Linked DNA regions of Drosophila melanogaster. The protein of the gene in region 2 interacts with the protein of the main gene of each other region in a pairwise test. Each region holds a gene or a part of one and is shown on either strand. Other genes may lie near its edges.

Region 1 (3,245 bases), on a different chromosome or scaffold from region 2:
GGAGACGATGGATCCCATCGAAATGGCCAAGCAGCACAAGGAAGCCGAGGAAATGGAGCCAAATGCTTTGGGTCGCAGCAGGAAATTTATAGCCAAAGTGGAGCGCGAAGCCAACATTTTCGAACGCTTCGGAGTCTCCTCCTACCTGAGTCTGCTGGTCATCTCCGTTCACCCCTCAATGAGGCAAAGAGGTATCTTGGTCATACTTTCCAAATGTCTCTTTAAATTGGGTCGCCTGCGGGGACACACTCTGTTCATCACCAGCGGAACCAATCACTACTCCTCCCGGTCGGCGATGAAAGCGGGATGTGAGTGCATCCATTCGGTGGCCTATGCTGACTACAAGGACGAGTTGGGTCGGCCGATATATAATCCACCAGCGCCCCATACCCACATTCGGGTCTTGGCCTCAAAAATGTAAAAATTAAAATAATTTATTAATTAATTATTACTTTGGCCTTGGCAATTGATAAAGGTCGTCGAGCTGGAAACGCAAGTCCATATGGATCAAATAAAGTAATAAAATGTAGAACGGTCTACTTTATTGTTCAGATATTGTGTTGATTATGTATTTATCGACACATGACCTTGCAATAATTACAAAATCTGATATTAAGTAATCACTTTCCACTCGATGTATTTATCCTCAAAGATTTTGGGTCAGAAAACCATATTCGAAAAATGTTTATTACTAAAAGGATAAGTCAGTCTGGCACTTCATTAAAAATAAAACCAAAAGCCGTTGGAAACAACTTTCTCTTCGCCAAACAGAAACAATCTATAAATATGATAAGCCATTATCAGTGATAAGCGCCGAAGTATAAAAGCCATGTACACATCGGCGTCCTCTTCTGTCTTAAGAAAAGCATATAGAACGAATTAGCTCCGGATCGCGATGACTCCCACGACAATAGATGGCGTCACGATACGCATCATGCGCCCAGAGGATTATGCACAGGTAAAAGCCTATATGGAGGCTGAGTACTACACATCGGAGCCTCTGTGCCAGTCCAGCGGCGAACCCGTTCACCAGCAGAACGAGGAGATCAACGACGCCTTCAACCAGTCGATAATCGCCGAGGGCACCAGCCTTTTGGCACTGGATGAAAACGATGGTGGCCGGATTGTGGGTCTAGTTCTGGCATGTGCCAGTTATCCCGATAATGTGAATGCAGGAACATTGAATTTGAAGCTCGAGAATGTGGAGGATAACGCTTGGGGTCGAATGTATCATTTACTAATGAAGGCCAAGCGCGAAGTCAATCTGTTTGAGCGCTACGACATCCCGAAGGCGCTCTACTCCCACGTGACCAGCGTGGCCTCGTGGAAGAGGGGCAAGGGCCTGGGCTCCCGCCTGGCCGCCACCCTGATGGAGCTGGGCCGATCGAATGGTTTCCCCCTTATGATGGCCTTCTGCACTAGCTTCTACTCCGCTCGCCAGAAGGGGGCCTTGGGCATGGAGTGCATCTATTCCATCGACTACGCCGACTATAAGGACGATGAAGGACGAGTGATCTTCACACCGGCAGCCCCACACACAAAGCTGCGAGTGATGGCAATCAAACTGTGACAGTTGATAACAAATAACTGAGTCGAGGAATTTAAATAAATTATATAACTATAGTTATGTTTATTTAATACTTAGCACACTTTTGGGGGACCTATACAAGTTGACCAATGACCAATGTGTCTCGGACTTTAAGATAAGAGGCAAGATCTTGCACTGCTTTATTCTTTCGGTTCATAGTAAACAATTCAAACGGACGCGCCAAAATACAAAAACGTCCTTATCGATAACTCGGAAAGCAATTGGTTTTGATAATTAATCAAATTGATGTGTGCGATAGTTTCCGCTCACCGACCATCGCCCACCGCTAGCTGTCATTCGGCGACGCGACGAACTGAAATCAACGTGCTTATTTTCCGCTCGGTAATTTGCCAGAAAAAAACTAATCGAAATGGGCGTACAAGTAGTTCCAATTGCTCCTGGTGATGGTGAGTATCCAATGATTGGGTTAGAATCCGCAAGAAATGCCGTAAACTACCGGCCTTTCTAACCTATTTAGTGCATTTTCGCAATGCACAATTCGGAAATACCTGCGACAATATGGTCGTCCCGCTCACACACATCCATTTTTGCATTCCCCGCCCGCAGGCAGCACCTATCCCAAGAATGGCCAAAAGGTCACGGTCCACTACACCGGCACCCTGGACGATGGCACCAAGGTGAGTACGAATCCCGATCCTCGCCATCCCCAGCTAATGATCCGCCTTGAATTCCACGCAGTTCGATTCGTCGCGCGACCGCAACAAGCCATTCAAGTTCACCATCGGCAAGGGCGAGGTCATCCGTGGCTGGGATGAGGGAGTTGCCCAGTTGAGCGTCGGCCAGCGCGCCAAGCTGATTTGCTCGCCGGACTATGCCTACGGTAGCCGTGGCCACCCCGGCGTCATTCCGCCCAACTCCACCCTCACCTTCGACGTCGAGCTGCTCAAGGTCGAATAGGCGCACAGGATGCCCAATGTGTATACCCCAAACCAAATCGCAGGGGGTTGCGGACCGGCGCACCGGCGACGAGCCGAAGAACATCATAATCGGAACCAGAACAATCCAGCAGCATTTGCCAACCCAAAATAATAATGATAACTTCATACACAGCTCTAAACTAGAACTAATTTAACCGCAAAGGGAACGCATCTTCTACCAATACAAATAAACATTTATTCAAGTCAATGACAAATGTCTTTCTTATCAAAAATCTTGGGATAATCCAATCAAATCAGCTGCGGTTGCCTTTCCGTGCTGCAATACAAATGCATTTCATATTATTTTTTAATCAGGAAAATATGCAAATATAAAAACGCTTTATCATTCTCTTGATAGACTTGAAGTGGTCTACTTGACAAATTTGATTTTATTTTATATAAGTATATAAAGTGTACAAGCATCTTATTTGCATATATATTCGATTTGGAAACAGGATTTTTTTTAATTCTTTGTGCACAATTAATCCAAATTATTTTTCATTTTCTATACCACTTCCAAAATCACCTAGATACGCTTCAGTTTTTGCAGACCAAGCTCATAATCTTGTCAATAACTTCATATCGCTCCTTTTCATACTTCTTGATATGCTTTATCCAGTGTCCGCGCACTTTCTTCCAGCGGTTCATATTGGAGGACAGAAGATCGGAGGTACTGGCACCTTGGAGAGCCTTTTCCCGCTTCTTGTCCTCCTGGCTGA
Region 2 (3,895 bases):
TGGCAGTGAATGGCAGTGACGTCTGGCCTTCACATTTGTCCCAACTCATTCCCAGCACCCCAATGTTGGGTATTTTGCCTGGCTCGTTATAAAAATAAAACACAAATTAATCCAACAAGCTCGTCGCAGCTGGAGATTCAAAGATGGGAATACACAATTGTTGAATGAAATTGAAAGTGAATTTGTCGGTCTGATTGTCGATAATCTGAAAACTTTGTAGTTAAGTATTTACCTCGAAATTTATCTGGAAACTTAGTGCACTTAGCCACATTTTTGTATAATTAAATAAAACAAAAACATTTTTCTAATTGGTTTATGGGTTTAATATAAATATTTAACCGTGCCATATATATCTTTTATAAATATATATAAATGTATATTGTTGATGAACAATGCTTGTTCTTAGAACGTTTAGAACGATTTCAGCTGTGTTTGTCTTAAACTGCCTTGTCACCTGGCACACCTGCTTAAAATGCAGCCTCCTTTGACACATTTTGATGTCCTTTTTAGGCATTAAAGGAGCGCAACATCATGATGTACGACACGGCAGAGCGAACAATCTGCAATGGATAATATCAGGCAGACTTTAATATTTAATTAATAAATTTGCAAGTATTATGTCTCCAAAATCTAAATCTACATATTGGCAGATTAAAAATGAAAAGAAGTACTAGTTTTTTGAATTGTTTCTCCAGGTGTATTTCTGCGGCACGTGGCATGTTTACGGAAACTCACCGTCGAGAAGGTGGCCATGCTGGCCTCGAAAAAGTAGCCCTTCATCTGGCAAGGTCGCTGGGCGCGCATGGCGGCAATGAGGAGGGCTCTTTTAGTGGGTGGCGAGAAGTCGGTCCAGTTGGTCTCGTACAGCCCGTTTCCGAAATCCAGGCTGGCACTCTTGATATTTTCGCCGCACTTCGAGTAGATGAACAGTGCGATGAGCAGCGAGCCCACAAAGGCGATAAAGTAGAGACTCTGCGGATTGGGAAACAGATCAGCCACCTGGAATCCAATGAAGCAGATCTGCAAGGCGGACAGAAAGAACTGCAAAAAGATCAGCGGCCGGTACTTGTCCGCAATGTGATCGGCGATCTGGAGGCCCTTCTGGTGCAGCAGCAGCACCTGGACGAGCCCCTCCAGCTCCTCCTTTCCGCCCACCGCCGGCAGATGGATCATCCGGTGCTTGGCGATCTTGAAAATGGCGCACACGTTGTAGGTGAAAAAGAAGAGCAGCGAGTCCACGCAGAGTGCCATGGTTACCTTAAATTCGAAAAATTACAATGGTAATAAGCACCTTTTTTTTTGGTTTTTTTTTATGTATGTTAGGAAACTTACAGCACTATAGCTGGCCATCACATTCCACAGATAGGTGGGCACATAAAACATGACCACCTGGAGATCGTACGGGTAAACGCCGTTGTGGGGCAGCTCCAGGTGAATCTCGTCGCCGCGAATCGAGGAGAGTATGATGCCCACAAAGGGCTTCAGGGCCGCAAAGATTCCAGCCAGTCCAAAACAGCGAGTGTACGTAAGACTGAGCATTTGGTCACTTTGGTTCTCCACCTCGATGATTTCCCGCGCATCAGGCCACACTTCGATTTCTGCAAATTATAAAATATATTTTTATGTTATATAAATTTTTTTTTAATTAGTAGAAACTTACCTTTAGCCAGAATGGCCCTGATGTGGTAGATCAGGCCGACGAACTCCTTGCGATGATAGCAGAAGAGCAGGAATTTGACCAGGGTGAGCATGCTGGCGAAGGTGGAGCCCAGGGTGTCGGAGAGCAGGCTCACCTGGGTGATGTACTCGTGGGCGGCCAGGAACATGGGCACCATAAACAGGAAAAGTGGTCCCATTGTGACAAAGGTCAGCCACGGGCGGTCATTCGCCATCGTGGGGCTCCACAAATCGATGCCCATGCAGCGATAAACGAGAATTTGCACCCGCAAGGATTGATCCTTTTCCTCCTGCTTTTTTCCCTTCACCTTGTCGCTCATCTTTAACTGGCGGACTGTACAGTCGTTGGGTTCTTATACTTTCCACAGAGGGGGCGTGGAAGTTAATGTCATGTCAAAAATGCAGTCAAGCTCAGAACATAAAGAATAATAATTGTTTAATTCCTTACTTATCTTTGGATACTCTGGCAATCTTTTTTTAGAATTTTTTTAGAATATTTCAATGTAATGGGCGTTTTTTTGATTAGGTACAAGCAAAGTAGAACTTTTTATTATTTAAAATATTGTCTTAATACCAACAAGTTCAACTTGTCATAGAATCGAGTTTAGTATGGTCGGACTGTATATATATATATATTTTTTTTTTTTGATTTTTCACTAATTGTTGAGTCGGAGGATTTGGCACTACTTTCATTTAATATGCTTCCTTTGTGCATTGGTTTGCGGGTTAAATGGGTGTGGACCTGGGTGGACTTGAAGTGCATTTATGGCTCTAATTACACGATTTTTTCTGCCTTTCGCCGCATTCTATTTAATGCCGGCCCTTTCACTCGCTTGTCCTGACAATCAAATGGCAGCCTTTAGTTCCCAGGAAGTGCATTATAATTTTAATGAGTCTGTGCAGATTTGAGCGACACGAGCAATAGTTGTGGCGCGTCTATTTTTGGCTCCTTAATTAGATTCGCAATTCGTAATGCTGTCGTTGACTTTTGATAAGGACTCGACAATTTGCCGTCCGATGGCTTGTGGACCAAAGTAAAGTTTGTTTTGCCGTCCAGGATTAAGTCTATTTAGTTTATAATATTAAAGTATATTTTTGGTATTATATGTTATGTGAATATATTGTTACAAGTTATGATATGGAAATAAATATAAATTTTAGTTACTGTATGATTTAGGAAATATATATATATTGTTTATTTAATATTTATTAATATTATTCAATATTTCAAATTGTCCCGCCAAATTGTGTTCATTAGTGTTGACTAACACACCGACAATGATGGTCAGCTGAAATTTATTTGCAGCCAGTTGGCAGGTCAGGCACTTTCAACACTGTTCGCCCAGCTCGATAGTATCGATGAGCAACGACTGGCATACCCTTCTGTTATCGAAGACCGATAGACCTCGATAGACTCAGTTGTATAACCTCTGCTCGCAAATATTTTTTACAGGCAACTAGCAGCTCGAATTCCGTGCAAATAAACCTTTAAGTGAGTAGCCCAAGTTACCGCTTCAGCCATTCACTAAGTTCCACTTGAAACGCATCACCTTCAATTCACAGAAATGGCTGGCGAAGGCGAGAAACTGACCGGCCTGTCGAAAATCTTCAATGGCACCACCATGAGCGGCCGTGCAAATGTGAGTAGATGAAATTCCAGAACGTCGTGCCCGTGGTAATGCTAATCCGATTGTTATGCCATCCATTTATCCCGTCCTTGTCCAGGTGGCCAAGGCCACGTACGCCGTGATGGGCCTGCTGATCGCCTACCAGGTGCTGAAGCCCAAGAAGAAGTAGAGGGATGCAACTGCTCCAACGCGGCTACAACTCATCCGCCACAATCGATGTCTTGGATCCGGGGCCATCGCTGGACTGCGGATCAGTTTATTTTATGTGTAGTGCAAGACCTTGAAGGAATAAATAAGCTGAGAATGTAACACACTGTACCCACGAAGTGCATTATGTAACGATCCTGCGACTGCCACATGATTTGTGGGCATCACTGCGGTGGATACCCTAACCACACCGATCTATGGGCTGCAAGGTACTCACGGCAATGCATACGCAACCGGGCTAAAAGTAATAATAAGTGGTTCTAGAAGAGAGAGAGATTAGCTTGCGTCCAGTGCGGATATCACTTGTTAATTGAGGTTCAGCCTAGCAGTAAGATGATGTTCCATAATAACCTTCAGTTCATTCAGAACGTATGTTCCACTTC

Evidence for each region. Proteins that work in one complex are often made in the same cells at the same time.
Region 1: the proteins of Or9a (region 2) and Fkbp12 interact in a two-hybrid assay, tested with the Drosophila melanogaster proteins (one large-scale study listed by BioGRID).

What each region holds. Positions count from the first base shown.
Region 1 is NT_033778.4:19,288,231-19,291,475, forward strand, and holds Fkbp12 (FK506-binding protein 12kD), read left to right. Parts: upstream 1-1,878; 5' UTR 1,879-1,958; coding exon 1,959-1,995; intron 1,996-2,155; coding exon 2,156-2,226; intron 2,227-2,287; coding exon 2,288-2,506; 3' UTR 2,507-2,732; downstream 2,733-3,245. Other genes in the region: AANATL6 (arylalkylamine N-acetyltransferase-like 6), read left to right, coding at 1-421; AANATL4 (arylalkylamine N-acetyltransferase-like 4), read left to right, coding at 896-1,570; mip40 (Myb-interacting protein 40), read right to left, coding at 3,064-3,245. UniProt on the Drosophila melanogaster protein: PPIases accelerate the folding of proteins. It catalyzes the cis-trans isomerization of proline imidic peptide bonds in oligopeptides.
Region 2 is NC_004354.4:10,457,680-10,461,574, forward strand, and holds Or9a (odorant receptor 9a), read right to left. Parts: upstream 1,998-3,895; coding exon 1,661-1,997; intron 1,599-1,660; coding exon 1,333-1,598; intron 1,258-1,332; coding exon 736-1,257; intron 561-735; coding exon 507-560; downstream 1-506. Other genes in the region: Neb-cGP, read left to right, coding at 3,243-3,317, 3,403-3,474. UniProt on the Drosophila melanogaster protein: Odorant receptor which mediates acceptance or avoidance behavior, depending on its substrates. The odorant receptor repertoire encodes a large collection of odor stimuli that vary widely in identity, intensity, and duration.